Linked DNA regions of Saccharomyces cerevisiae S288C. Changing the gene in region 4 together with the main gene of any one other region gives a genetic interaction. Each region holds a gene or a part of one and is shown on either strand. Other genes may lie near its edges.

Region 1 (7,513 bases), on a different chromosome or scaffold from region 4:
CTACAGATAAGGAAATTGACACAATTCCCATCAAAATATCGCCATTTATAAATATCAATCAATTCATTGATAAGCTTTTACTAATCATTTTCGAGCATGAACGTTTTTTGCGTCACAGCGGAAGTGGGAGTATGCGCCAAATAGTTTTCAGTTCATGCAATTGGGAAGCTTGCTCGATCCTTAACTGGAAACAACCCAATTTTCCGGTTTTGTTGCAAATGAAAAATCTACTCAGAGATTCAACCACAGGCAAATTTGTAGGTGATACTCCTAATTGTTTAAAGGAACTGGCCGTAAATCCTCAAAAAATGTCGTATTTAAACACGGAACTAATAAACATACATACAATGGTTCAATTTGCTATGAACAATAATTTGTTAGGTGTAACGCTTCCATATGAAGTACTGAAGATATGCCCGTCGTTGGCTAGGATCATCAAACAAAACGGACTACTGTTGATTGCATCGGTCGGGGAAAATGACCAAATACCAGCTGATGGAGGTTACAGCGGGATCTACTACGCTTGTGAGTTGCTTTTTGAGAATAATATTGATATGTAAAGTTCTGTAATATGTAGTTTTGAAATCTTATACATTATTTAGGAAAAACTTTTTAACCTGTTCATTAAGGGCAACATCTTCTGCCTTAGCGCCTTTATTATCTACAAGATCATATTCTGCACCATACTTTTCCACCAACAATACAGCTGCGTCACCGTGCCCTTCAGCCAAAGCATGAAATAGTGGGGTCCAACCCTGCTTATCCTGCCAATTTACAGCGCTTTTGCCCAAACCGCATAATAGTTCAATTAATTTCAAAGAACCCACCGACGCAGCTCTATGCAATGGAATTTGATTAAATTTATCTTTAATTCTTACGGACGCACCATTTTCAATTAAAAATTGGGATACTTCAAACCATTTCTTACCAACTGCCAAGTGCAAGCATGTAACTCCTTGATTGGTTATCTTATTTAGATCAGGCTTTAGAGGTCTGTCGTAAAGAGACTTTACCACCTCCAAATTCCCCACTGAACAAGCAATATGGAAAGGTGTCCATCCAGAATCATCTGGATAATCATCTAAGTTAACATTTTCCATTTTAGAAAGCAAAAAACTGGTAATTTCATGTGCTTGGAAAGAAACTGACCAGTGTAAAGGGATTCTGCCATCCTGGTCCTTCTGTAGCAACAAGGAAGGTTTGGAGTGTAGCAGCTCTTGTACCTTGAAAAACTCATTTTCCATGCAGGCTTGATGCAAAGGATAATTAGACATGGTTATACAGTTTTAAGGGCATGCATTTATGTAGCATTTATTATCACAGCTTCAGCTGATCGTTCTTTAAAGAACCCTTTTATGAAGGGCCCTTCGATCATACTTGACAGCCGGGTAAGAGAGATATTCTTTGTATAGAAATGAAATCAGATTACATAAAGCAGTGTGCAATTTGAGTGGCCCCATTTAAATACTTTCTACTTCCTCTATTGCTATGAGTAATACTGCGATGTGGCCGTATCCGTTTAGTCGATATTTTAATAGCTTGCATGTAATTGTGTTGCATAATCACTATCAACGACATAGAGTGGCAAACTTTTCTTGTATCGCTCATTTTGGCATCTAAGGGAAATAATAGCAAAAAAGGGCAATTCATAAACCATAAAGGACATCAGAAGAGTTTTACAGGGGAGGTTGTATTTTAGTAGCTCACGAAATAAAAGCAAGCGGCTGCTAGAAAAGAATATAATTTAGTGCTGATGAATAGATCACCTGGTGAGTTCCAAAGGTACGCAAAGGCGTTCCAAAAACAATTGTCCAAGGTACAGCAAACCGGAGGCAGAGGTCAAGTGCCTTCACCAAGGGGGGCATTTGCAGGCTTGGGAGGTTTGCTTTTACTCGGAGGTGGTGCACTGTTCATTAATAATGCACTGTTCAATGTAGATGGTGGTCATAGAGCCATTGTTTATTCCAGAATACATGGTGTTTCCTCTAGGATATTTAATGAAGGTACTCACTTCATTTTCCCTTGGCTTGACACACCAATTATTTATGATGTGAGAGCAAAACCTCGTAATGTTGCTTCTTTAACAGGTACCAAAGACTTACAAATGGTGAATATCACCTGTAGAGTACTTTCAAGACCGGATGTGGTGCAATTGCCCACCATATACAGAACCTTAGGTCAGGATTACGATGAAAGAGTGTTGCCTTCCATTGTTAATGAAGTTTTAAAGGCTGTAGTGGCCCAATTTAATGCGTCACAATTAATCACTCAAAGAGAAAAAGTTTCCAGGTTGATTCGCGAGAATTTGGTTCGTCGTGCAAGCAAATTCAATATCCTACTGGATGATGTTTCTATTACGTACATGACTTTTTCGCCAGAGTTTACGAACGCTGTAGAAGCAAAGCAAATTGCCCAACAAGATGCTCAAAGGGCTGCATTTGTAGTTGATAAAGCCAGACAAGAAAAACAAGGTATGGTAGTGAGGGCACAAGGTGAAGCCAAATCCGCCGAACTGATTGGTGAAGCCATCAAGAAATCAAGAGACTACGTGGAATTGAAAAGATTAGATACAGCCAGGGACATTGCAAAGATCTTGGCTAGCTCTCCAAATAGAGTCATCTTGGATAATGAAGCATTGTTGCTAAATACCGTAGTGGATGCAAGAATCGATGGAAGGGGCAAATAAATAGCGAAGGCTAGATATTATCTTTAAGAATTGAGTAACAATGTTAAGATGCCATATACTTGTGAATACAAAATAAAGGGAAAGAAAGCGATGCGTAAAACATAAATATTTGTATGTCTTCTAGAATAAGAATAAGGAGTATTACCCCGTATCATCTTGTATTGTTGGAGAACGTATATAGTATAATATGTAACACATACAGCAAAAAAATAGGCCAATTTATGATCATCATCCGTTAAATTAAATGTCTACATTCGGCTTGCGTGGTATATTCTGTTTGCCCCGCACAAACTCCAGTGTTTTGGGTTGCGATTTGGCTGAGAAAAGTTTTGACTTGTGATCATTCAGTTTTCTAGAGCATGGTGAAAGCAAATTGTCTGACGGCGACGCAAATTTTTGCCTAAGTTGCGTGTTCAAGTTTTTCCTTTGATCTTCCACTGCTTTTCTTTTCCGATACGTATTCTTGAATACTTGTCGATGAAGGCAATGCTTTGCAAATGTCTTCGTGTTATGCGCAACTTTAAGACTCATTTTCAAGTGTTGATTAAAAGAATCTAGATTTTCATCCCTCCTGGTGCAAGACACAGACGTATTTTGGATTTTTCTAATCAATTTTGTCACTATATCTTGGGATGCCGATCCGCCGTATGACATCGCAAATCTGTTACTTTTTTTTAGCGCAATGATGTAGTAGCCTCTGATTAACTTTTTTTAAAAAAAAATCACAGATAAGTAGAGGAAGAAGAATTTGCTGCTTATTGGGAACTTTCAATAGAAACCTTTTGTAGAGGATTTCGTTATTTGTTCAAGAGAATAAAAAGGTATACATTTGAAATCCTAGCATTAACTTCAGATACCTTCCACCTTACTAATCGCAGGCCTTTATGACAACGGAGGAGAGTTAGAACGAAGCAGAGAGGCTCCAATCTACATGGGAACATCGCAAAAGATGCGTACTCCGCACTGATCCATTTACCTGCAGGGCTTAACATGCATTGCACCACCGTTTGTACATCATAAGTTAATTACATTCCTTTTTAGGATAGTCTACTATTTATTTTTTCCCGTATCTGGAAAACCCCCTTAGATCCTTGTCACATAATCATAAAAATAAAGGCACCAAGCCCTAAAGCACGTGACATATGTCATTACCCTAGATTACATATAGGGCTTCCAAAGCCCTATTGGAGGTCGAAAAAAAGAAAAAAGAAAATAAAAAAGCGAAAAAAAGAAATGCATAATTCGCAGATTGTTTTTTTTTTCTTTTTCTAATGTCAGTTTTCCTACTTCGAGATCAAAAGAATGTTTTTGCACCGCAACTGAAAAGGTTGTGTTTTCTTTCCAGAGTAAATTACATTTTAATCAATTCTTTGCGCTGCTACGCAATCTTCAAACGCAAGTCCATTCTTAGAAATTTTAGCTTCTCTCAATATTGAAATATTTGCAAATACGCCATTCAAGAATCAAGCCTGTTGAAAATAAAGGTACAAAATTAAATCCGCTAATTATTTTTTTTCGTGTTCGACTAAAGTTATCGAAAAATTGAAAATATACAAGGACTAGCTATACTATCAATACGCAAAGAAAATACAAAATAAACGCACATTCGTTCTATAGGCGACAACTTGGCAGAATTTTTTAGTATAAAATGGATCTATTCAAAAGAAAAGTTAAAGAATGGGTATACTCCCTCAGCACTGACGACCATTATGCAGAGTATAACCCCGATGAAACGCCTACTTTTAACATGGGTAAACGTTTAAACAGCAACAATGGTCAGGTAAATCCCTCTCAAATGCATTTGAATAGTGTAGATGAGGAAATGAGCATGGGATTTCAAAATGGCGTGCCATCTAATGAAGACATAAATATTGATGAATTTACGTCCACGGAGTCAAACGATGGTGTCTCTGAAACCCTCTTAGCTTGGAGACACATCGATTTTTGGACCAGTGAACATAATCCAGATTTAAATGCAACTTTGAGTGATCCTTGCACCCAAAACGATATCACTCACGCAGAGGAAGACTTGGAAGTTAGCTTTCCCAACCCAGTAAAAGCGTCTTTCAAAATTCATGATGGCCAAGAAGATTTAGAATCGATGACCGGTACTTCTGGCTTGTTTTATGGCTTCCAACTAATGACACTAGATCAGGTTGTAGCTATGACTCAGGCCTGGAGAAACGTCGCAAAGAACCTAAACAAAAGATCTCAACAAGGTTTATCCCATGTTACATCTACTGGCTCTTCTTCATCTATGGAAAGACTAAATGGTAACAAGTTCAAACTGCCAAATATCCCAGATCAAAAATCTATTCCTCCAAATGCAGTGCAACCGGTATATGCACATCCTGCTTGGATTCCTTTAATAACGGACAATGCCGGTAACCATATCGGTGTTGACTTGGCGCCTGGTCCAAATGGTAAATATGCTCAAATTATAACATTTGGGAGGGACTTCGATACGAAATTTGTCATTGCTGAAAATTGGGGTGAATTTCTGTTATCGTTTGCCAACGATTTGGAAGCTGGTAATTGGTATTTAGTAGATGACAATGACGACTACTTTAGCGGTGATGGTGAATTGGTCTTCAGGGATAAGAAATCTAATGGTCCTATACAAGATTATTTCGAAGTTTTAAAAAGAAGAACGTGGATCAAGTATCAAGAAAACTTGAGATCACAACAGCAAAAATCTCAACCTGACACATCCTTGCAGGAGCAGAAATACGTGCCTGCCTCGCAAAAGAAAGTGGCAGCTGAACAGCCTTCTACCCTCAACGCAGAATCCATAAAGGGCGAAGATAGTGGTAGTGCAGATGTACAATCTGTTCAAGATCACGAATCTGTCAAAATTGTGAAAACAGAACCTAGCGAAGCGGAGACTACAACTGTAAATACAGAAAGCCTTGGACAAGCAGAGCATGAAATCAAAGCTGATAATGTAGACATTAAACAAGAAAGCGAGAGGAAAGAAGACGAAAAGCAACCAAAGGTTGAAGAAAAAGAACACGTTGAAAACGAACATGTCACAGAATCAGCAAAAAAAGACGATGATGTAAATAAGCAAACAGAAGAAATGAACAAAAAGGAAGAAAATGAAATAAGAAGTGATGATGCTAAAGTGGAAGAAGCGAGAGAAGAATTTGAAAATATAGCTTTATGAAATATCACAATTAACATTCTACAACCAAAAAGAAATTTGGACAATATTTATTTCTATTAAACTGTTCTAGGTAGGTTTCAACCTTAAGAAATTTATACAATATTATCATATATATATATATATATATATAGCACAATTCCCTTACGTTTACCAACCATGAACGTTCGTGGAAATCAATGCATTATGTCTATAAGAGTATTCCTAAAAGCAGGAGAAAGTTCGCTATCATTTGCCATTAAGTGGCTCAAACGGTTTGAGGCCACTACGAAGAAAAATCAATATATACAAAACGGTTGGCCACTAAAAGATGGAAATAAAAAAAGAAAATAAATACTACTAGTAAACATTTATAGAACGTCTTTTTGCAACTATAATCAATTCTGTTCACCATATTATTCTTTGCAAATAGGGCTCAGTGGTCCAAGGAAATGAGACCTTGGAAAAGATAACTAAAGTAACGACATTGAAGAGCATGAACCATAAAAATTCCATGAACAGTCTTTTCGTACTGCTTATGGTAATTGGGTTTTCGCCTTCTTTAGCAGGTTTTAAATCCTTTATCAAAGGTTCGCAGCTGCAGGTAATAAATATTCTCCAAAAGAAATAGGGCAATATATAGTAACGAGGTTCGAATAAGGGTGATGGAACGATAGTTACCATGGTGCACGTTATTAAGGCCGTCCACGATACATGTGTCAGTTGTATGGGTAAATGTACAGGTTCTTTGATGGGGAGTGGAGTGATGGGGTGAAAGGTGAGCTGGTTGGGTCTCATCACTTCAAGGTATGCGAAAGTGGAGAAATGATAGATTGGTGTCATAAAAAAGTACTTGATTAGTCTACTTTTGTTGCCTATCAATCTTCTGAAGAGGTAGAACGTGTAGTGTCTATTATCTGCTAACAAAAATGGGTGAACTTTTGTAAAGTATCTTATGATTAGCATAATACCAATAAATTCAAAAAAAGTTTGTACTGGCTTCCGTTTTATTCTTAATTTGTACAACTTCATAAAATTACGAGATATCCATATAGGTAAACTGAAAACGGTGATGAATGTGAAACAATAGAATATTTGTACTATATGCAGGCCTGCTGAGTGGCTGGACTTATCACCTAGTGTTATGGATCTGTTCCAAATCAGATAAATGAAGAACAAAACAAAATTTATCATATAGGGCAGAACAAGGTTGGAGAAATCGTCAATAGCATGAATGAATAATTTCAAATAGTTATTGAACGTATGCGTGTTGAACTGTTTTTGTAAAATGGCTGGGCGTTCAACAGCAAGAATCATTATAAATCCCGTCCAAATGATATTCGTTTGTCTGAAGAGACAGCTTACACCAGCAAAAAAAGCACTCAACCATATACTCTTCACGGGGCCAAACGGTAATGTTAACACGCAGCTGAGTGATTGCAATATCAGAATTGTAGACCACACATCGGTGTAAAATAAGTAATAATAAGTTGTCATCAATGGGAAGCTCATTAATGAAACGGGCCAAAAACCTAAGGCATTAAAAAGGAATATTGGCCTGAGTACTAAAATGGGGAAAACGATAATCCCTCCAAGTAAATTAACTAATCTTAGTATGGTTAGTGTGCTCCACGACTTGAATATGGGCTTTATACAATAATAATTAATTAAACCCAAAATATAGA
Region 2 (8,324 bases), on a different chromosome or scaffold from region 4:
CAAAAACAATAACCTCGTCGCCAGCGTTCAAAAGCCCCATCAAGCAAGAAAGTATACCTTCATTGGCACCTGTTGTTACGGTAACATTTTCCGCTTTCAATTCTGTGTTATAAATAGGAGAATACAACTTAATCAAGGAATTAATTAATGAAGGTCGACCTCTAGTTGGAGAATATTGATTGACCATTGGAATGTCTAGGGCTTTCTGAGCCTCCTTAATGGCGAATTGAGGAGGGGAATATGAAAAAAAGCCTTGGCCTAAATTAATAAGTTCACGGCCTTGGTTTTTGGAGTTATTGGCAGCTTTTGCAGCGGCTTCATTGGTTAGCGACCAAACATCTTTGGCAGTGTTAGAAGTGAAATATTTGTTGGCAACAACTTTCGGTCTCGAAGTAGACATTAGGTTCGTAAATTGACGAATGAATCGTTGTTTCATTGAGAGCAAGTAACAATGGATTCTATACGCAATTATAGTAAATTGAACACTTTATATATATCTCTATCGTACCTTCCCCTTTTAAACATGACTGAATTTTGGTATCTTGATTGTCATAATGACAACAAAAAAGCCACAGTTCTACGTCACGTGCTAGACACGACATGCTACTGAAGAAATTGTTATCAAATGAAAAGATACATTTATGTAATAACCACTACCAGGCACTTGCTAAAAAGAATCTACGTAAGAACTACATAAAGGTTAGCTTGTGCGCCAGAAAGTGATATCAAAGTTTTATGAACGCTGAACAATTTTGAGCCAGTAATTATCTTGGCATAGGAGACGATAAATGCCATCGTTCTTTTAAAGAGCTTATTAAGTTATTAACTCTCTTCGATTAGACATTCTCTTATCAAACGAGTTACGTTACATTTAGGAATAATGCGACAAAGATGGAGGTCTTGATTCCTAAATCCTACTCAAAACAATCTGCTCTACTGTCAAAATCCTTGCTCCGTAAATTGATTTCGTTGTCAGACGCTCACCGTACAAGAAGTTTGTGGGTATTTACATCGTAAGAAAAGTGCAACCAGATTCAATATTGAATTACCTGAGCGGTGTCTTCCTATATTAAAATGACGATTTTGTTTTTCTTTGTATTGTGAGGGTAGCAGATTCGTCTTCTGCACTTTTCATCTACTATTGCAAAGCCTAATACAAATACAGTTGTTGAATATAAAAATTCGAAATCAGCCTTCCATTCTCGAAAGTGAACAAGGAAACTCACTGGATAAAAATTCACACGAAAAGAAAAAACCGAAAAAAAGTAACTGTGTTGCTTGCAGAGGGTTTGATTACTCATAACCGAGAGACACGATCTGTAGCGGTGATATGAACGTATTCCTCACCTTCTTCTAACCCTTTGGAATAATAGTTTCCATCACTCTTTACAAAAGTAGCATTACTCACCAAATAAGGTCATAAAAAAGACTTTTATTTTGTATACATGTAAATTTTGGCAGCGGTTAGTGAGGTAAAAGAGATACGAATGAATATACGATACAATGATACAGCATACTGAAAAATCATCCTAACGATTTGGTGCACAGAAGGCTTTATATATTGACCAATTCATATATAATGTCCTCTTGCTACATGATATTATACCATTGCCCAGTTGTTTCTTAGCGTACATATATGATAGCAGACTATGCAAGTCGCTTACTCATTGAGTTTTAGTAGTAAATTCCTGAGAAACTTGTAACAATTCTTCATTGCATTCTTTAATTATCTTTGAATCTATTTCAAGCATTTTGCGTAGCTCATCCCATTCGTTTTGGCTCTTTTTATCGACTTTGATAGTTTCTGCCTCGATACGAGTTAGTTCACTCTTCAAGTACGATAAATCTTGTTGAAGGGATTTTTGAGAGTGAACAAAGCTGTTGAATTGCAATATTTGGTTTCGTATCTCTTTGAACCATTTCATCTCACCATGGCTTATTTTCTTTTCTTTAAATTTATTGGATTCGGCGATTTGAGATAGCTTCTTGCTCAATTTACTAAATCTCTCCATTAATTCTGACTGTCTGCTTAGTTGTGCATCCCATTTCTTATTTTGTGCTTCGAATTTTCTCCTTAAATCATCATCCTTTGAAATTATTTTGCATGTCGATTGTAGTTGGCGCGTCAATTCGAACTGTTGCTCATGAATTCTATTGTGGATAGAAACACCCAAAGTTTGAGCTTTAACAATTCTTTGCAAAAATTCTTTGGAAATATCCGTGAAAATTTCCAACTGATTTTCACTAGCTTCGTTTTTTAAAGGTATCTGGCGGTCTGCTGATGGGATAATTCGTTCACATGGACTAATACAGGCTTTTTGAAAATTATCGTTCAAAATAAGAATCTCATTTATGGGCTGTGTGAAACTCATTTTAAAACCATCTCCTACCGTGTCACTTTTTTCTGTACTGATACTTGTTTCAGCTGCGGTGCTTTGCGGTTTCATATCGCTTGAAATATTTTGAAAAGTCAATGTTTTATTCGACATCAAGGCTAAATTAGATTGGTCATTCCAGTTGATATACGCTAGGTTTGGAATTCTTTCTATGGTGGCAATATCCTCAAGTTTACTTTCAAATTTCAATCCTGCAAGTGGATTCAAATCCGATTCGTTGATACATTTACTCAATGTAGAAGCCCAGCTCATAAAATTTACTTGTTGTATAATATTATCGGAAATGACATAAAGTTTTCCCAACTGTTCAGGTAACGTTATTAGAGACTTAATTTCTCTTTGTAGTTTGACTCGTTCAATTAGAACCAAAGAATTATTATACACGTAATTGTCAACATCCCACGACATTGACATTTCCAAATCTTTGAAGAGTAAGATTAAAGACCCATCATCAAAACTGACACAAACAATTTCATTTTGCCCATTATCAATTAGTATGGTTGCAATATTTGTAGCAGTATAGTCATACAGCTCGCCGGGAAAGGGGTTTATCGTGAATGGTCCTTGAACCTTGGCTAAACGATATTCCTTTTGTATGTCGACTTTGCCAAATCTTGAATTCCAATTTTCATGCAGTTTTGACACAAACTGTAACTGCTTAATAACATTCCTTTTAACTATAACATCTGTTGTAGAATCCAGGGACTCGTACATTACTAAAGATTTGTTTAGGATCAAGTTGAGATCTTTCTCATTTAACAGTAATACTGACGGTAAAAATGGATAAAATGCAAAGATATCACCGCCTTCTGTGGTGTTTAGACAATATAACGTCAATCCGTCCTTACTGAATTCTAAATCTGTGATGTCGTTAACACGTGCATCTAAACCAAAGGAGTTGTTCGGTTTGTTCAAAACGATAGGCTTTTCTTGCGAATTAAGGATGTCAAACATCGTGATAGTGTCATCCTCTTTCAAAACCACTATACAAGAATCACGATAACTCTTTGGATGAAACAAAACTTTCTTAATGGACGATTTCGGACCAACTTCTTCTTCATCAATTGAATAGTGGAAAATTTGGAATGCATCTTGAATGGAAACGTCTTCAACGTTGGAATAGCCCCAAGGAACTTCCATTACAAAAATCTCGTTGTCATTGAAAAGACAGAGTAGGTCACCAGACGTACTAGATATTACATGGAAGGTATCATCCAAGACGAGATGACGACTAAAGTTCAAACTGTGGTAAAGTGAATCAGTGAGTACATTGTACCACCTTATTATGTTATCTTGAATGAAAACAATCCTTGTGCCATTCTGAGAACTAAAAATGTAACGTGGAGATTGGCTTGCCGAAAGCGATGCTTGGAAAATAGGAAGTGCACTTAACCTACTAGATTGGGACATACTTTGGAGTATAGAATTAAGCCACCACTCAATTATCGCTGTCCTTTTGTTGCTTAAATATTAAATGCAATTAGAATATTTGAAAGTATTCAACTTTTTTATTGAAGTTAATTTTTCATTTTTGCTGCCGCGAAAAGAGAGAAGGTCGATAGTAGATTTTTTTTTTTTCACTTGTCTCAGTATGAATCTATAAACTATCATATATGTATACATATTTAGACCACGTGAACAATTCTATGTTAATCAAGAGCGCAAAGGAGGGCCAATTCAGGTAACCAGCCATTCAGCAATCCCATCACAAAATTCCACCCAAGAAAATAACATAATTTTGGACTGAAAACGGACCAAATAAAGAGATGAAATCTCAAAACGACGCATGCCGTCATCAAACAAGTTCCAAATATACAATGATAGGTGAAGGCAGGTAACTTACTTCTGATGAACGTTTGCAACTTAACTTGTGCTGGAATAGAGGCGTAGTTTATTGACCACGGTAGCATGGACCAGTATATTGCCGGCGCGAAATTGGCAACGGACATTAATATCCCCACTACGTAGATGTTGTAGTCTGAGGAAACACCATGGTATGCGTTTCCAAGGTCTATAGTAGAAATGGAATTTGTGCCACCGAATTGGAAAAATGTAAAATTTTGTAAAATTAAGGACACCAAATTCGAAAAATAAATCTTACTTGTTGATGTTAATGAGGCGGTTGGAATATTTTGGAAAAAGTAAAAAATTTGGGACTCTAATATTTGGAAAACGAGAAATTGACCTATGTTCTGAGAAGAAGTTTGGAACATCAAAAGAATTGTTATATAAACTTTCATATCTTTAATGAGGTAGTTCTTGTTAAGTACTTTCAATTTCGTCAGGACCAACCTTGAAATGACAACAATAGCCCAAGCTTGGAAGAAAACGCGCGCAAGTACAATCAAGTTACTTTCAGTTGGTGCAAAGTCTATCTTAGCCAGTAAATCATGCATAAAGAGCGGTATTTCTGCCTGGTTACCATTGACGATTTCCCACGAGATTTTGTACGTGAAACACAACCCCACCAAAATAGTAGTGACAATAAAATGTAGTACTTGAAAACCAGCAGATGCCATTATCAGCACTAGAAATGTCAACATATTTAAGCACCACTTCCAGGAAGGATTCTGATTAAGTAGATTGGACATAACGTTAGAATAAATGAATTTCTGGCCACTGTTATTCCAAAACTTGATTGAGCGTACGCATGCCATCATTATAAACCAGCGCACGATTATGAGCACATTCAATCGGTATACGAACAGAGGGACCGCCGAGAATGCAGTTACTATCCACCACCACAGTTGGTGCTCCTCTTCAATGAAACTACTTGCAAATGTGGAAACGCCTAGTATAATGGAAACTAACAGAACAGACAGGGAAGAAACGCGCAACTGCCAAAAATCAGGCCCAGAATAACGTAATAATACATAAATGGCGATGATTGTTATTATGAGGAAACCAACAAAAGCCAGTGTCAAAAGAGGATAATTATAATTTGTTGCAGACTTGGTTAACGTTTCTTGAATAGTGTACATCTTTGTATAAATATCTTCGGCAGTGAAATCGTCAAGAGCAACCTCGCCGTGATGGTCTGATAATTTCCACAAATGCATAAAATTTTCTTTCATACTTGCCAACTTATTGGGCAACAGTTGTAAAAAGTCAGGTATTATTATCCCAACACTGTTCATGGGGATTGGCATACCAAACAGTGCTGCTATGGTGGGGACGATATCAATTTGTTGAACAGTCTCTAAATACTGGAAATTCCAGTCCGGACTAGCGTTGATGGGCAATGTGTAGTTTACTTGCGATTCTGGCCTAGCAAATTGCGCCAGCTTAGGTGACAAAAACAACAATCCTGCTGATGTTTCGCCGGCTGAAGAGCCACCATGGTTGCCCAGTTCGTTCATTCCATGGTCGCCAAGAACACAAATCAGTGTATCATCGTCATCTTCATGTTCCAACACTTCATCATATATTGACTTCAGAATGCTGTCCATTTCTTGATGTTTAGCAGCCATAAACTTTGAATGCGGGCCATCTTTATGCCCGATATGGTCAAGACCCAAGTAATGCAGGATAGCCACGTCCCACTGGGCCCATTCCTGAAATAATTTCCCGGGCAAGTTCCTCGTCACATTATTATCGACTTGAGTGAAATCACTGACAAAGAACGAGTGTGTCGGGTCAGCGAAGTCAAACCATTGCTGTGGGAACAGTTTCAGCCAGGTGTCATCGCCCATGAAACGAATCGTGTTATTATGTTGGATGAACTGCTGCAGCCAGGAATCGTGCTCCGAAAGATCGTTGGAATCTATGTCCTGGGCTACATTCAGCAGCAAGTCAATGAAGCTAGGTGTAGATCCCGTAGTAATACTTTTGAGTCTAGGCAGCGTCACGGTAGGCGGATTAGCAAATGACGTGTAACCCCATGCTTCGCCCGTATTGAGCCATTGGTGCACGTTGTTGAAGTGGGAAATCTGCGAATCAAAAAGAAAGTCTGATCTGAGAGCATCAATGATCACAAACACCAATTTCTGGAAGGGCCTATCGCGCTGGAGATCACGGTCTTGATCCGGATCTTGCTTTGATATACCTGTCAGCACGATTTTTCTAGGGAAAAAAGCAAAGATAAAGAGCAGAATAGCGAGTAATTGAGCGCATGATAGGCACGTGAACTGCTTCAAGTTCATCTTGCTAACTTGGTGAAGTGTGCGTGGTAGATGAACTTATTTCGATATTGTTTATACTTTAACATTTTCCTTTTTTTTCCCAAACTGAGTTTTTCATCATATTCTTAAACTAAAGAGCTGGCTGTTAGAGTAGGACAAAGAGTATAAACAAACAGAATGTATGTATATATCCGTATAAGCATATCTATATATATATATATATACATATACGCAAGTAGGTAAACTATTTACAAAAGAGGAGAGAAGAACAGCGCAAAGCCTATTGATGGAAGACCACAGCGTACCTCCACATTAACGGTCTTTTCATGCCTTCTTCTTGGCTTCGTACTCCTTTTTGAGAGCCTCGAGCTCCTGCGGATCGATGGGTGGAATGGGCACGTCTGCAAAGTCGTTGTCCTTGTGCAGAAAATGATATGTGTAGTAGTAAACAGAGCCCGTGACACCCAGCAGCAGCGTGAGACCGAGCATATTGCCTTTGAAAAAGGGTTTACGGGCCCTGATCATGGCAGGCGTCATCTTCCACGTGCGGGTGTCTTGGTACTTGGACGGATTCAAAACCATACTACTTTGTCGTCTATATATGTGCTTTCGTTGCTGCTCACGTAGTATTGTTGCTTATGCCACCATAGTAAAGACTCCCTTTATACAATGAGCAAAAATCACTGCTTTGTCTGTCACCGCGTACGAGGCGGGAAAAGTTGGTTAACAAGAACAAGTGGGATTTGACAAGCTAAAACAGCTTATAACGGTCAAGAGATTTGGCTACGCCAAGGAGAAAAAACGGTGAGAAGCACAGTCGAGCGCAACAATGACAGTGGGTATTGCTAGGAAACTCTCTAGGGACAAGGCGCATAGGGATGCGCTGCTAAAAAACCTTGCGTGCCAGTTGTTTCAGCATGAATCTATAGTGTCAACGCATGCCAAATGTAAAGAGGCTTCCAGGGTCGCAGAGCGGATCATTACCTGGACAAAGAGGGCAATAACGACAAGTAATAGTGTTGCACAGGCGGAATTAAAGTCCCAAATTCAGAGCCAATTGTTTTTAGCAGGAGACAACAGAAAGTTGATGAAGCGGTTGTTCAGCGAGATCGCACCGCGGTACTTGGAAAGGCCCGGTGGGTACACGCGTGTGCTGCGGTTAGAGCCTAGGGCTAACGACTCAGCGCCGCAATCCGTCTTGGAACTAGTCGACTCTCCCGTGATGTCCGAATCGCATACGGTGAACAGGGGCAATTTAAAGATGTGGCTGTTAGTCAAGTCAGTCATCAACGATGACGCCAACCAGCTACCTCATAACCCACTCACATTGCAGAATCTTCACAAAGTGGCCAAGTTTAAAGCAGAAGCGCAGCTACATGGTGAAATTATGCTCATCAAGCAGGTCTTACTCAAGGAAATGTCCCTTCCCTATGATGAGGCACTCGAAAACGAAAGGACGCAGGCACTTTTGAAGGAGGTCTACTCTTCGTCATTGCCAAAGAAGACGAAGAAACCCTCCTCCTATGTCATGGTTCCCAGACCTTAAAAAAACCAGGATTTTGTGTATTCCCTTGTAAATATATAGATGACAATTGAAAGAACAGCGCTAACAATGTGCGTATTCTAATATAGTGTTTTTTTTTTTTTCCAACTAGAGAAAAAAATGAAAAATGTAAGAGAAACAAAACAGAAGAAACAAGAGAGAATAGCGTCAGGATAGCTCGCTCGATGTGATCAGGCTAACACAATGAACAACGAGACTAGTGGTAAAGAAACGGCGTCTGCACCTCTGTGTTCGCCCAAGTTA
Region 3 (6,552 bases), on a different chromosome or scaffold from region 4:
GAAAAATGGTGGGCCACGCCAATATGCTGGACAGGATCCTCGACGAAATAGACGAAATCGACAGCGAGGTAGTACTGTGTGACGCTGCCGATGGTTCTTCTACTGCAGAAGCTCATTCCGCTTCCCCAGCATCCAGCGACTCTTCTCCTCTCACTAATAACATCCGGCCCATTAGCATTATGTGATTAGCATGCATTTTCCCCTTTTCCTTTCTTAAGAACATTTTTACGACGCGGATCTGCCCGTCATCGCATACGAATGTTGAATCACGCCAGAATCACCAAAGAAAAAAACTCGTTCAGTTCCTAGGTTTTATGAGCCAGGAACAATAGACTTTTATCGCATATTATTTCTATACGTGCACTTATATATGCACACATATGTTTATATACATATACATACATACGTGTTTCTTTTCAGCCTGTGTTTTTGTCGGGTCCAAAAACATACAAGGCAACATAATATTTTGACATAACTCAACGCAACATAACAGTATAAAACATAGTTTAATAAAAGAGAAAAAAAAAACAATATTTTTAAGCTATCGCTCTTGCCGCAATGAACGCCAACTCTACCACGACAGCAATCGGCCTCACCAGCCCCTTCGAAAAGCTGTCCTTCTTCCCTCATTCGTCTAATTTAATACTGGCTCATTTGCATGAGATCATCTTCAGCTTCGTCTTCTACCAGCTCGCATTCTCCGTTGTCGCACCGTTCTTGAATAAAGTGGTCTTTCGCAAGCACTACACCACGATCCGTGACCCACTGCTGAAAATTGATTTCAATGTCCACACCGTCTCGATGATCCAGGCTGTCGTCTCGAACACCGTCCTGTTGCCCACCCTCACGACGCCAATGCATTATAATGTTGTCACCTACACAGATTCGTACAGTTCAATGGTATCTTCCCTCAGCGCAGGGTACTTTATCTGGGACTTGACTATGTGCGTGCGTTACTTCAAGCTTTATGGTCTCGAGTTCACGGGCCACGCCATTGGCTCCGTATATGTGATGCTGTTGTCCTTAAGACCGTTCTGCCAACCCTGGATCGGCAGGTTCCTTATCTACGAGGCCTCCACTCCCTTTGTGAACATCAATTGGTTCATCATGCAATGTAACGCCAAGAGCAAGAACTCTATCCCTCTGTGGTTTAATGTCGTCAATGGCCTTTTGCTCATGACTGTGTTTTTCGTCGTCAGGATTTGCTGGGGCTCCATCGCATCCGCTCTCTTATTCAGGCAGATGTGGAAGGTAAGAGACGAGTTACCCAAGTTTTCTGCTGTCACGATGATGTCGCTGAACATTTTCATGAACCTTTTGAACGTGCTTTGGTTCAAGAAGATGATTAGAATCGCCAAGAAACTTGCAAAACCAGCCCCAACGTCGAAGCTAGACTAAACCTACCTTTTTTTCTATCTTCAACAACGAAACGCCTTACACACACACACACATACATCTACATACATACATACAAATATACATATATGTAAACTTGTATATTCATTCCTATTAACCAAAAAGAGGCAATTAAACTTTTCCCTCTTTTTCTACGTCATTTACTCAAAAACTCTAATTCCTTCGTCTCTGTTCTGCCATTTTCTCCAGAAAAAAATCGACGGGAAATAAAAAAAAAAAGACAACGAACAAGAGAAAAAGTTCGCGAATTATAAACCACTTCTATAATTAACAGGAAAAGGAAGGAAAAAAAAGGAGGAAATAGAAAACTGCAGGCCTTTATTCATGTTTGATCTTAAGACGATTCTCGACCATCCTAATATCCCGTGGAAATTAATCATTTCTGGGTTCTCGATTGCCCAATTTTCTTTCGAATCTTACTTGACGTACAGACAGTACCAGAAGCTATCTGAAACAAAGTTGCCACCTGTGCTGGAAGACGAAATTGATGATGAAACTTTTCATAAATCAAGGAACTACTCCCGGGCCAAGGCCAAGTTCTCCATTTTCGGTGACGTCTATAACCTAGCCCAAAAGCTAGTTTTCATCAAATACGACCTCTTCCCTAAAATCTGGCACATGGCCGTTTCTTTATTGAATGCAGTCCTGCCAGTCAGATTTCATATGGTCTCCACTGTCGCACAGAGTTTATGCTTCTTGGGTCTCTTATCCAGTTTGTCTACCTTGGTTGATTTGCCACTCTCTTACTATAGCCATTTTGTCCTGGAAGAAAAATTTGGTTTCAATAAATTGACCGTCCAACTATGGATCACCGATATGATCAAGAGTCTGACTTTGGCGTATGCTATTGGTGGCCCAATCCTTTACCTGTTCCTTAAGATCTTTGATAAATTCCCTACTGATTTCCTTTGGTACATTATGGTCTTCTTGTTCGTTGTCCAAATCTTAGCCATGACAATCATTCCAGTCTTCATCATGCCCATGTTTAATAAGTTCACTCCATTGGAGGACGGTGAACTGAAAAAATCTATTGAAAGTTTGGCCGATAGAGTTGGGTTCCCTCTAGATAAGATTTTTGTCATTGACGGCTCAAAAAGATCTTCTCATTCAAACGCATATTTCACAGGTTTGCCATTCACCTCCAAGAGAATTGTTTTGTTCGACACTTTAGTGAACAGTAATTCTACTGATGAAATTACGGCTGTTTTGGCCCATGAAATCGGTCACTGGCAAAAAAACCACATCGTTAATATGGTCATCTTTAGTCAATTGCACACCTTCCTCATTTTCTCCCTTTTCACCAGCATCTACAGAAATACATCATTTTACAACACCTTCGGCTTTTTCTTAGAGAAGTCCACTGGCAGTTTTGTTGATCCCGTTATCACTAAGGAATTCCCCATTATCATTGGATTTATGTTATTTAACGACTTATTAACTCCACTCGAATGTGCCATGCAATTCGTGATGAGTTTAATTTCCAGAACTCATGAATATCAAGCTGATGCTTATGCTAAAAAATTGGGCTACAAGCAAAATCTATGTAGGGCTCTAATTGATCTACAAATCAAAAACCTTTCCACCATGAATGTAGATCCTCTGTATTCTAGCTATCATTATTCCCATCCAACTCTAGCTGAAAGATTGACCGCTCTAGACTATGTTAGTGAAAAGAAGAAAAACTAATCTATAGAGTACACATATTAGCATGTACCGTTAAATTCAGCTTCGTTATGTCTATATCTACATACATACACAGGTATCTACTATAAGAATAAAGGAAAGAAAAAATAAACGATTAAACATTTTATTTTTTTGCATCGCTATCATCATTACCTTTCTCATTGTTATCATCATTATCTTTCCCATCTTCATCGTCATTTTCTTCATCATTGATTATTTCAATGATTTCTGTGGTTTCAGTCTTCACGGTAAATGGTTGGGGTTCTTCAATATCCTCATCATTAACCATGAATTGGTTCAATCTTTTGAACTCTTCATTTTTCTCCTCCCTAATGGCATTATACAAAAGAAAATTTATCCAAACTTCTGCAAAACAGTAAATAAAAACAGAGTTATTGTGAACGTAAAAGTTTGACTCCCAAAGGTACGAGATACTTGTCAAAATAAAAAAAATTAGTAATCTAACTGGCACAACAGATTGGAAGTATTTAACATTGTTTTCTAACAGGGGAATTAGATCATGAACACCGTTAAGAGTAAACAGAAGAGCGAAAAGACCCAATTGACCACTATAACGTGACAGTGTTAACTGCGGTAAATTCATCGCTTGCGTTAAGACTATGAAATATGTATTTTGCAAAATAGAATTAACGTTCTTTAAACAAAAGAAGGCGATCGTGAATAAAAATGCTACTCTGAAAAAAGCAATATTGGTGGAGTTCAAGGCTTGAGCCATTTTCTTAGAATTTATTCTTTACTTTTGCTGAATGCGATACTCTATTATGTTGTAAATTGTTACACTACCATTCAATTGTCTCTCTTTAAAGATTGATCGACATTATTTTCTTTACTTTTTTGGTGTTTTCGCGCTAAAAGTGGCGTGCTAAATGCCAAGTATTATTCTAAAAAATCATTACGCCATACACAAATATTGAAGACTATCTATCTAACTTAACACCAACTTGCTTTATTAAAGAGTCAATATCCTTCAAAGACTTAGTGAAATACAATTCATCGTCAATATAAGGTTCTTCACCGTCGCTATTGTTCAAGTTTTGTATTGATTTTAAGTAATCCTGCGTACACAGGATACTCACTTTACTGTCCGTCGTGGATAGTTCATTCCACTGCCTAATACTTAAATGGTTTTTCTTGTGTCTTTTATACGTTCTAATTGAATCATAGTTATTCTTTCGCAATACAAAGGCTATTGAACATATAGTCTTACATTGGGAACAAAATATATCGTATTCCTCATCTTCATCGTTTGGATCAGTATGCACCTCCAAAAGAGTTGTCCGTGGTACAATGGCCTGAATTTTCCGTATGCGTTTTAATTCAGTATTATAAAAGACGATCAATGAAGAGTAACATTGCCTAACAAAAGCATCATTGAACAATAGAGTATCTTTATTGTACTTGTCCAAAACATTGATCATTAAATCAAACATATCAAAAACACATGCTTTCTGAGTTAATTTATAATCCGTAATCGCACCAAATCCATATGGTAGCCAGAAATCTATAGTAAAATTGACAGCTTCATTAAAATTATAACCTGTATTAAAACCAGCATGGTAACATTTAGGAAACGTGATAATATATTCGTTGGGCTTTTGCACAGCTTTGTACACAGGAATACCTGATTTCTTGAAATTTGGATCGTACGGAGATATTAAAGTCACTAGCTGATGCAGTAGGTCTGGTTGTTTGATAAATAAGTCTGGTGACATATCATTTAATAGATCGTTGAATTTCGTACATCCCGATTCGGGAATGCTGTACCAGACCTTAGGGTCACCTTCATGTTGATAGTTAGCACTTAGGGTATACTGATCTTCCATATGCCAACAAAATGTGGAAAATAAGGAGCCTATGTAAATCCAAGGAATAGTCATGCCAGAAATATTTCTTTTAAATAACGGTAATAGCGAATTATGAGCCATAGGCAAGTTAGTTAAATTCATAGGATGATCGCAATATTTGAGGTAGTCTATCAATTCGTCCCCATTTATATTTTTGGGTATAAATTCTCTCGTCGGAAAGCCGGTAATTTGACCTGGCAATTCGTTATGTATGTCAGCACCGTATTTAACTGTCGTTAATGAACTGCGACGATTCTTGGTCACTAAGCTCCAAAACATCTCTTCCAACTCATCTATAGACAGTTTTCGTGCTGGTAATAACCTTGAATTTTGACGTTTACAATATTCTTGAAACTCTGGTAGAGAATAGTCATGCGTGTCCTGAGTGAATCCGTAATATCCGTTTCCGACGATACAAGTGTTACAAATCCAATCGCCAGAGGGAACACGTTCCAAAGGTGGTGATAAACAATATATATGGAATGGTTTGTCACATGAATCACATAAAATTGTTCTTTTTGGATCATTTGTCTTGCGACAAACAATACAAGCATCATCATCGTCCTCCTCAAAATCCGACCCAGAATTCGAATCTGGCCCAAGATCGAAATCGTCCTCGTCATCACTTAATAAGGATTTTGGATACTGGTCAGCATGCAGCGCCGTGTGCACGTTCTCGTTCAGTGAATGAAGAAATATGTAGTATGAGGCAATATATTTCTCAAAAATTTCCTTTAACAAGCCGATTGGTACGTTGAATTTTTTAGAAATGGTCCTCCATAGACTGATGTCGCCTCTTAATTGGGAAATATCTCTAAATTTCAATTTTCGCCTGAATGACTGTGTAGTGTCAGTAAGTGTCCGATTGTCTTTTATTAGTTCAGAGAAAACGTCATAAAAGTACACTTTTTTTTTTAGTATTTCCGATGCATGAGTAGAATCTGAATATTCTACAATCGTATAAGGTTCCCTAAGTATAAGTTTCGATGGATCCTTAACGGATCTTTTAAAATTATTTAACTGTTTCATAAAAAATAGCCTACACCTATTTTTCAGGTCTAGGTTCTCCAGATTTTGAATTCTTGGTTGAAAAGTAAAATTTTCCATATCAATAGAAAGTGGCGGGCAGAACCCGTTTGGTGGTACGACCTTGACCATACCATATCGTACACCAAGCCTTTTAATGTGGGGGTTAGAGAGATAATCGATCGGATTTTTGAATTCTTGTTCCGTTGGATACAGGGCAGGAATTTCCTCCATGATAGTGATACGTTTTTTGTGCAAGATGAGATTAGTTAATATGATCTAGAGGTAAAATTGACTAAGTAGTCAGATCTTATTCTACATTGAGCCTGCGTTGTCAACATGCACATCTCTGTCTCTTGGGATGATAATTTTTCAATGATGATTCCAGGGTTACTTTAACGTTACACAAAAGAAATTAATTAGTGCGGCTGTTTCTGTGAGCGGGGCAGTAAGTCCGAAGCCCTTGATATTAGCCCATACCCTACACATTTTACTCGTTTGCCCTACATCAGATAAAATACTGGCCCTAAGCCCTCCTAATCTCTTCTGGTTACACCTAGGG
Region 4 (9,427 bases):
GTGCTGCAATTTGACTTAGCATCTCCCCTGCAAAAATCAAAGTAAAAATTTAAGACCCGATTAAACTATTCCTGTGCTAAACCACTCAGTTGGAAAATAAATTGTGTAACTAGTCCAAGTCAAGATCTTTGACAGACCGTGTTCAAAGAATCTCGTGGTTGTTCTGTTTTCTTAATTTTTGTTAACCACCTGTAGCTTTACTAGAGTGCATTTAAGCGGGACTTGTTGACTGGTATTTCATATCATAATAAGGCACGGTTAAATTGGCCTAGTAATGAATTTACTATAGCAGTATGTTTAATTATATTGCTTTCCCAATTTATATGTTTACTTTTTTTAGGCGCAGAGACCTGCTTAGGCGATATGTATCGTAAAAACATAACCGTAACGCTAGCAACAAAATATAAACTTGAAGCTATTATAATTTTCGTATACTTAGAAGCTGTTTTACAAATAATACAGCACTTTCATAAACTTAACAATACACCCATTAAAAAAGATCTATATGAATGGGTAATATAAGTATATAAATACAAAAAGGGGTACTACATAAAAGATTTATCATTTAGAGGCAATCTTGACCTGTTGCACAGAAATGTCTGATGGTTTGTCGTCCATGAAGAAAAACTTGAAAAAATGCTCGACACCCCAACTACCAAAGAAATCGAGCAATAATGTTAGGGTCAACTTAATCTTAAAGTCATCAGTCATTGGCACAAACTTCATGGCTTCGTTTAGCTCAGGTAAAAATTCAGTAGCACTTGCAAGTGCCAAACCTGTCACACCCAATAAACCATAATACATACCTTTGTTACTCCTAATGTTTTCTCTGAATGGCTCACCTTGATAATTGACAGCAAATGTAGAGACTTGTTGTACCAACTGAATGATGAAAATACCCGTATTCAATAATGATGGAGCAAATTCCTTTTCAAGATCAACTTGTGGCTCTCTGGGTTCCAATTTATAAATCTCTGTAGTGATGTAAACTAAAGTGGCAATATGAACGGCAAATTGAGACAAAATAGATCCCATAATGTAAACATTGAAAATTCCGGACTGTGGCCTTTGCTTGGATAGTTTTTCTAAAGGTTTACCACGGGAAATACTCAAGAAACAAACCGATAGTAACAAACCGGAGACAGTGGCTTGACCATCACCAAATTTGACACCAGCCATGTAAATGATGGACAAAGAGTAGGCACTGATTAAACAATTCAAGGCCAAGATTTTGTACATTTGAATTGTGTTAACTAAAGCACAACGGCCTTGACGTATAATGTTAGTAACAGCAGAAACATTGGCCAGTTTCGAGGTAAAAGGGGCAGCGCAAGATGCATCTCCTAACTTTAGAGCTGGTGCTTCATCACCTTGGGCATCACCAGCAGAGTTCAACAACAAAGAAGCTAAGTCAGCAGGTTTTTTTTCCGATAGTCCATTTGGTTTGATGACTTCAACAGGTTTGGAATTTGCTTCTTCAACTGCTTTTCTGATTTCTGGCGTAATGACGGTACCTTTGCTTTCTAAAGCTTTCAGATAATGAGGATTTTTTGGACCAGGTGGGAATAAGTGTGCAATCGGTTCAGGAACAGGTGGCTGTGGTTGATTCCATCTAGCCATAAATTCAGTTTGCTTTATATACATCATTTTCATACCTTCCAATCTGCGTTGTTCACCCAATTTTTTCAAACCTTCTTCGGTACCATTCAACAATGCAATACCAACATGAGCTTGTTTCAAAGCACCAACATCATTAGTACCATCACCGCACATTAAAGTTTGATATCCCATATCCTTTAGTGTATTCAGCAAGAACTCCTTTTGGGATGGTGAAACACGTGCGTAAACCCAGGTGTGACGTAATAGATCCCTTAATTGAGAATGCCCTTCCAAGGCATTCAAAGCATATCCAGTAACAGCAATATCATATCTATCAAATAATTTAGAATGATCAAAAGTGTCTTTTGATGGATCAAATGGGATGGAAACTGTCTCTTCAACATCACGGAACAGCAACTGATTGTCGTCAGATTTACCTGCTCTGTCTAAGATTAAAGTTTCGCCAAAAACTATGCCAACTTCTTTAGCCACATGAACAGCAGTTAATGGATTATCACCAGTAATCATAATAGAACGATGGGAGGATTCATTTAACATTTTAATGGTTTCAATAGCGTCATCCTTCAGAGGACAATGGAAAATCAAAAACCCATTAAAGGTTAATTCAGATTCAACATCATCACGGTTTAGATCATCAATTTTAGACTGAGACATTTTTGGCAACGACTTAGAAGCCAAAGCCAAAACTCTTGAACCAGAGCGTGTAAAGGATTTATAGATTTCGTCATAATTCTTGGGAATGTCAGAAAGCCTTTCACGAATCGTTTCAGGTGCACCTTTGACAGCAGCAAACAAGGCATCGTTGTGAGAAGCAATAGAAGCAGACCTTTTTAAAGCAGAAGAAAATTGAAATCTACGGATAATATCCAATTTTCCGGTGCCCTCTCTATAGTTACTGTTTTTTCTTTCGACAGCCCAACCAACAGCCTTTAAGGTCGCCTTTTCCATTGGGTCACCAACAATATCACCATCTTCCAATTTAACTAAAGCGTGAGCAGCACCAATGACAAGAATTGTACTTTCTGGTGCTTCGGCAGCGCTGTACAAGTGACGAATGTTTTCGGAGTCCGCAGAGATACCAGCTAGACCTTCAAACACAAGATCTTCGCCGGTCAAAGTACCAGTTTTATCGAAACAACAAACATCAATTCTACCAGCAAATGGAATTCTAAATGGTTCAGTACAATAGACATAGAACTTGGCAAGGGCGGCCAGAGAACTGTTGACAGCCATGGTCAATTCCATTGGTAACTCAGGAGGAACAACAGATGTAATAATTAATATACAGTCCAAGATCAATTTGGATTGAATTCTACCCATTTTTGTACCCTCAACCCAAACGTACCAGGATGCAATAACAGCGAAAATCAACAAGAAAAGAATGAACATCAACGCTTCCTTATTATCGACGGAAACACGTTCAGCGGAGTAAATCATAACTCGAACTAAAGAACCCTGAGATGTTTCAAAGCCAGTTTTGGTGACGATGGCTAAGGCACCTCCATCAGGTGGAGGAGGGATATCCGATTTATGTTCAGGAGGTGTTACTTGTAATGCCTTTGTACCACCATGTAACACAGCAATCTTGTCAACACCGTCCAGTTGTAAATTATCTTCACTAGGACGTAATTTAATGGATTCCTTTAACAAGGGAGTAGATTCACCTGAAAGCATTGCTTCATTAACAATAGCGGAGCCATCGAGCAAGATCAAATCGCAAGGAATTGCGCTCTCCTCGGCGGTTCTTGTTATAGACACTAAATCCATAGGTAACAATTCATTGGTTTGCAATGCTACCCATTTTTTGTTTCTAAACACGTTAATGGTATAAGGTTTGATACCCATAGTTCTAAATTCCTTCAAGGCAGTTAATCTTTGAAATACTGCAGCTGCCTCCATGGAGATAATCATGAATAAGTTAAACAAAGAATAATACCAGAACTCATCCAATAGCCATAAGGCAACACAGAAAACTTGGAAAACAAACAATGGCGCAACAGCGTGCTCTTTGAATAATTCCATAAATGTTGGAATAGGAATATCAAAACTATTCTCACCATATAGTCTCTTCAAATGAGTTAGGTCACCGGAATGGCCCTTACATTTTTGGAAATCACCGATCTTTGGGGATTCATCAACAAGGAACTTTGGTGAAGAAAATACCTGCTCATTTTCATGCCACAAGAATCTTTTCTTTTGAAATTGGAAAAAAGTCTGCAAAGAGCCCGCTTCAGTTACTCTCTGAATTTCAACGATACCATCAGAACCATTATTTGGAGTGGTGTAGATGAGAATGTGAGTAGCTTCATTGACATTTTTAGTAGTACTGTAGTTGAATTTCGCCTTGATCTTGACATTCCAAGCAGGCATTAACATGACTAGGATGTTCAAGGATACCAATGTCCCCAAGTAGACAAAAGTCCACTCAGGTCCTTTGATGTAACGATCATATTGCTGGAAATATAGTTGGGCAAAGGTAGCGTATAACGGGAAAAACGGTAATACGTACGGCTTTGCTATTAATGACTTTGGTACCAGCAATGTCGAGTCCCTAACAATAGGACTGCTCACAAATGATTTCTTTGTCATTTACCGATTCCTATGTTTCTGTAGGTCTGATATGTCAACTATGTCTAGAGCTAAAAGCTTGCTAAAGCTTCATGTTATATGGTGGAAGAGACATTGCCACTTGGCTTTATTCAGAACACGCGAAGAGGAAGAGAAACGCGTAACGTATGGCGTGACAAGAAGCCACGAATGAGCAAGTAAGATAAGCCAAAGTATCACACATATTCATTAACAGAAGATATAGTGCCCCATAACTGCTTACAACACATTCAAACAAAAGAAGGAAATAAGCGTTTTAATACATAATTCTTTAATACACGAATAACAATTAATGAACTAAATAATCTGGAAATGAACTGAAAATTATGAATGACAAAAAGAAAAAAAGCCAAGAATGGAAGTCTTTTAGTAAACATTCCTGTGACATCAGACTCTCCAAACTTTATCGTCAGCAACCATTAAGTTATTTCTGTCCGACATGATCTTCAAACCTGCTAAATATTCTTGAGCGGAGAATTTTTCCTCCTCCGGTAGTTCTTCGTTGATTCTTTCGAACAAAGAGGCCACAGGATAGGATTCTTCTTCAAATATTTCTGTTTGCATCAGACGCGCAATAATACCTGAGATTAAAGACAATCTACCAGTAGAAATGGTACCAGGCTCCACATTGTCAAAAGAAATAACTGACTGTTGTTGCTCATCATCCTGACCTGCAGAAGATACGTTAGGTAATCTTGGAGTACCGACCTCGGTAAGAGGTCCCGACGAACCTTCCTCAGGTGCGTGAAGATGTTCTCTACGTCTTGGAGACACTCTCAACCCCAGTTGAAGCCTTCTTTGTAATTCAGCTTCCTCATCCGCAGGAAGCGGTGACATTATATCGTTATCGTCTTCACCAGCGTTCTGTTCGTCATCTTGAAAACGTAATATTCTGCGTGCTGACGATGGCGTGGCATTAACGGAAGATGCCGTTGACCTTCTTGGAGTAGATTTGATTGGGGATCCAGAGTTGCTTGCTGGTTGTCTGACTCTTTGTCTTTTTTTCGGTGATTTCTGTGGAGACCTCTTCGACAAAGCTTCTTCGTATTCACTTTCCTCTTCATCGATATCATTGCCGATATCCTCACCCAATAGTGCAAACCTTAGTAGATTGGCAGCCACTTTAGCATCCACCTTGTTGACTGTTTTGGATAACCTGACTTTGGCGTGAGCTGTGGCTAATCTGATCAAAGTCTCCAAAGTTCTTGCAGTAATGGGCGATTTTTTGGTATTATCATCGTTTCTTAAATCAGTATAATTTTTCACAATAACATTGATGGCTTCTTGTGTTAACTGTGGAATAACCCTTTCCTTGGCATATTGAACGTACTTTCTTAAGAATGGGATGGTGACTAGCTTTGGAATTTCTGTACCGTTATAGTTACCTTTGTTTTTTGCTAACTTAGCACCTGCTTGTAATAAGGGGTTGAACTTTTCGAAGACATGGTCTTCATCATCTTCTCCTTCATTTTCTACACCAGCCCCGGAGTTGGAATGCTCTTCAGGATTTATATCTGCATCCTCCCCAACGGCTAATGATAAATTCAAACGCTCTCTCACAGGTTCACCCTCTAAATAACCTGGAGGCAAATATCTGTGTGTTCTTAAGACATGCTCACTAATGGATCTATCTCTGATTTCATTGATATCGTCTGTCACAACAAATAGTAAATCAAAACGAGACAACAGCGAGTCCGGTAGGGCAATGTTTTGGTGTGGATCTCTATTGACATCGTACTGCCCAAAAACGGGATTTGCGGCAGCAATAACACTACAACGAGCATTTAATGTTGTGTGAATACCTGCTTTGGCAATCGTCACCGTTTGTTGTTCCATTACTTCATGAATGGCGACTCTATCCACATCTGTCATCTTATCAAATTCATCAATACATACAACCCCGCGGTCAGCAAGAACCATGGCACCAGCCTCTAGTCTTCTTTCACCTGTTTCCCTATCAGTAGTGACCGCTGCGGTCAAACCGACACCGGAAGAACCTCTACCAGTAGTAGCAATTGCCAGTGATGCTGTATTCAACACAAACCTTAGCAATTGGGACTTGGCAGTGGATGGATCACCCACCATTAGGATATTGATGTCACCTCTTAAATGCGAGCCATTTTCTAAATTTTTCTCCACACCTCCCATGAGCATCAATAAAATGGCTTTCTTTATATGGTCATGTCCATAAATAGAAGGCGCTAAAGATTGAGACAAGATATCGAAAATGTCCTTTTTTTTGGATAGTTTATTGATATTTCTTATATCGAAATCTGTCAACATTTGTCTCGCAGCGACACCCGTGGATCTGGCGTGGAGAGGATACACCGTATTACCTAGGATCAGAGTTTTGAACCCGATCAATGTATTAGAGTTGGACTGGTTCATGCCACCAGCACCAAGCGACTTGAATACCCCGACAACGTTAACTCTGTCACCTGGCTTGGTCTTGTCCACAAGGTCGTCATCGAGAATGACGTCAATGGACCTGGGAAGTTGGCCAGCGGGGGCCATTTCGGGCATTTCTTGCACAGTGATACGCTGATGGTCTATGAACGTACTATACCCATATTCGGTGGTTAGTTTGTTACCTTCAGTGTCCTCCGTTGGATAGATGGCAGGCGTTGGGATGCGGGTGGTGAGAGTTGTAGTAGCATCTGTATAATCTCTGTAATGGAATCTACCAGTCTTTGCCGCGTAGTGGACAGATCTGATAAGCTTTGGCCTGACCAACGAAGTCTTAGTTACGATACCCTCAACAGAGACCAGTTTGTTTAAATGTTGTGCCGTTAGAGTACGAGGAGACAATGCGTGTGCACCAAATGAGCCTTTGAACGAAAGCTTCCAAGGATGGCGAGACGATACTGCAGAGGCATTGGGATGTGGAACATCGTCCATGGAATCTGCTAGGTCAGTAAGCGCCTTTTCGGCAGGCGGGATGAAGTATGCTGGTTCGACTAAAATGCCCGACCAGAACGACCTGTCGAATTCTCTCAAGTCATCAAGCGAGATGATAATCCTGTGAGGGAGTATATTCAATGAGGTGGACGATGCTGCTTTCTTTTCCTTTTCAAGATCATCACCGTCGTCATCACCTAGCAAATCTCGTTCGTCTGCGTCATCTTGATCATCGTTGTAGTTGGCCGCGTTATTGCTGTTGTAAACTTGTATGGACCTTACAGAGTCTCTGTATGAGGTGAAAGTATCTAAAAACTCTTGAAATCTGCGCACTCTGTCACCAAACACAGCGTCTGGAGCGAAAAAAGTAGTAGCGTCTCCATCAAATCCCGTTGAGCCTTCCATAATTGACGTTTGTATCTTTTTGGTGCGCTTATAGTGGAGTTCAATACGAGCAGTAGGATGAAAATGCTTCAAGGAAAAGAGCGTAGGCCTTTTCAACTTGAAAGAAGATTAAGAACCTATCTTTCGAGTTTTGACCAAATTTTTCTTTTTTTTCCTAAAACACGAGTTTTTACCCATTTAGGAAAAGTAATTGTTTCTTCTACCGCCTCGATCTGACGAACAAGGGAAATTGAAAAAAAAGAGAAAAATAACGACAACTGCAGGACTCGAACCTGCGCGGGCAAAGCCCAAAAGATTTCTAATCTTTCGCCTTAACCACTCGGCCAAGTTGCCATAACTCATTGAAAATTCTGTTTCCCACATAGGTCAAAACTAATATTTCCCTTGGCCTGCTCTTCAACCTCCCCCGTTCTGAGAGTTCCCTTTTTTTTTTTTTTTTTTTTTTTTTGAGGGGGAAGCGCCGGATTTGCCACCGACCGGCTGCTTGCAGCCGGTAGATATGCGCACATGAAAATCATCCTCCCCAATGAATTACACTGCCTGCATAAGGAAAAAGAAAAGTGTGAAATACGAATAAAAACAAAGTATATTATTGCTATATAGATGATAAATAACAAAATAAATAGAAAATAAAAAAAAGGATTTATTTGTGTATGCTTTAGGAGAACGAAAAAAAAATTGCAAAGAAAAAAACCCGGTTCAGCGAAGAGTACATGATGTGATGGAAGGGGCGTCGGAGTTTTTTTTTCTTTTTTCATTTATATCCCATGCCATGATGTTAACCGGTTTAATCGGTTCTAGCAGCTTCCTTGAAGGAGATGGCGGCTTCTTCACCCATAGCGGAGATGATGGTAACCATCAAGTCCTTACCTTCATCAAAAGCAGTTTGCAAACTGTCACCCAATTCACCTTCTGGAGCCTTGACATCATCCTTAGTGTCACCGTCCATGTTCATCAAAGACAAGAAACCGTCATCAATGTCCAACAATTGGTATTCGTTTCTCTTGACAACTGGAACTTCCATGTTGTGAGTAGATGGAGACAAATCTTCCAACTTCTTACCAGTGAAGATATCAATGGCAACCAAATGGACTTTAGCGTGACCGTGCTTACCAGTCTTAGAAGTGGACATGTCGACAATCTTACATGGTCTACTCTTGATGACAACGAAACCGTTCTTTCTCAAGGCAGAACATTGCATTGGGTAGGTGGCGGAGGAACCAGCGTCAGCAGTTTCAAAGGTATGTTCTTCGTCAGACATTGTATATATGAGTTGGTATTTGTGTGTGTTTGGGAGTCTATGAGTAATTGGCTACAGAAGTAGAATCGTTAGAAAGAAGGAAAGGAAGCAATTGATAGAAGGAGAGGAATTTAGGAAATGAGGGATTCCAATGTCAAGATATGGCAAAAACCTTGTGCATTATATAATCGTGGAACACGACGATCAACGCGGCCAAAAGCCGATCGACGACGACGACGAAAAAAATTTTTATTACCACTGTTCCTTCACCTTCGAAACTTTTTTTCGGGCGACGGCGTTTCTTTTAGCTCCTGCGGTATGTGCGGTGCGGGAGGTCCCTTGTCGCCTCACACGGACCCGATATAACGCTACGGAATACATCGAGGGGTATGGGTGGATGATATCACTGCAGCAAGGTCTGGGTGTTGCAGAATTTTACCGGCCTTGGCCCCTCAGCGTCCAGCTACAGCGTTATACTACTCCAAGTCGCCGTTCCCGTTTTGCTGTTCTCACCCCTCAGAGAAAATGCCACCAGAACGAAGCCAATGGTCAGGACTTATCGTTACTTATACTGTTGAGCCGGATATATCCGCTGTGCTCTAATACCAGCCAAACGAGAAGGGTAGCGGCAAGAAAGGGTAAACTTTCATGATGAAG

What was found.
Region 1: mutations in SPF1 (region 4) and SMI1 are lethal when combined (synthetic lethality), as found in Saccharomyces cerevisiae (5 studies listed by BioGRID, with this or other methods).
Region 2: mutations in SPF1 (region 4) and LAS21 together harm fitness more than expected from each alone (negative genetic interaction), as found in Saccharomyces cerevisiae (5 studies listed by BioGRID, with this or other methods).
Region 3: mutations in SPF1 (region 4) and STE24 together harm fitness more than expected from each alone (negative genetic interaction), as found in Saccharomyces cerevisiae (5 studies listed by BioGRID).

What each region holds. Positions count from the first base shown.
Region 1 is NC_001139.9:947,721-955,233, reverse strand, and holds SMI1 (Smi1p), read left to right. Parts: upstream 1-4,334; coding exon 4,335-5,852; downstream 5,853-7,513. Other genes in the region: PHO81 (Pho81p), read left to right, coding at 1-560; NAS6 (Nas6p), read right to left, coding at 588-1,274; prohibitin subunit PHB2, read left to right, coding at 1,754-2,686; BNS1 (Bns1p), read right to left, coding at 2,927-3,340; OTO1 (Oto1p), read left to right, coding at 6,009-6,182; DIE2 (dolichyl-P-Glc:Glc(2)Man(9)GlcNAc(2)-PP-dolichol alpha-1,2- glucosyltransferase), read right to left, coding at 6,237-7,513. UniProt on the Saccharomyces cerevisiae protein: Protein involved in the regulation of cell wall assembly and 1,3-beta-glucan synthesis, possibly through the transcriptional regulation of cell wall glucan and chitin synthesis.
Region 2 is NC_001142.9:315,498-323,821, reverse strand, and holds LAS21 (mannose-ethanolamine phosphotransferase LAS21), read right to left. Parts: upstream 6,539-8,324; coding exon 4,046-6,538; downstream 1-4,045. Other genes in the region: BNA3 (kynurenine--oxoglutarate transaminase), read right to left, coding at 1-436; linker nucleoporin NUP82, read right to left, coding at 1,665-3,806; COA3 (Coa3p), read right to left, coding at 6,842-7,099; mitochondrial 54S ribosomal protein bL17m MRPL8, read left to right, coding at 7,347-8,063; DLS1 (Dls1p), read left to right, coding at 8,265-8,324. UniProt on the Saccharomyces cerevisiae protein: Ethanolamine phosphate transferase involved in glycosylphosphatidylinositol-anchor biosynthesis. Transfers ethanolamine phosphate to the GPI second mannose.
Region 3 is NC_001142.9:640,267-646,818, forward strand, and holds STE24 (zinc metalloprotease), read left to right. Parts: upstream 1-1,740; coding exon 1,741-3,102; downstream 3,103-6,552. Other genes in the region: YJR115W (uncharacterized protein), read left to right, coding at 1-185; TDA4 (Tda4p), read left to right, coding at 559-1,398; ILM1 (Ilm1p), read right to left, coding at 3,224-3,835; JHD2 (histone demethylase), read right to left, coding at 4,038-6,224. UniProt on the Saccharomyces cerevisiae protein: Proteolytically removes the C-terminal three residues of farnesylated A-factor mating pheromone. Also acts to cleave the N-terminal extension of the pheromone. Does not act on Ras.
Region 4 is NC_001137.3:85,040-94,466, reverse strand, and holds SPF1 (ion-transporting P-type ATPase SPF1), read right to left. Parts: upstream 4,210-9,427; coding exon 562-4,209; downstream 1-561. Other genes in the region: MCM DNA helicase complex subunit MCM3, read right to left, coding at 4,615-7,530; MTC7 (Mtc7p), read right to left, coding at 7,869-8,288; HYP2 (translation elongation factor eIF-5A), read right to left, coding at 8,318-8,791; UTR5 (Utr5p), read left to right, coding at 8,922-9,422. UniProt on the Saccharomyces cerevisiae protein: Endoplasmic reticulum translocase required to remove mitochondrial transmembrane proteins mistargeted to the endoplasmic reticulum.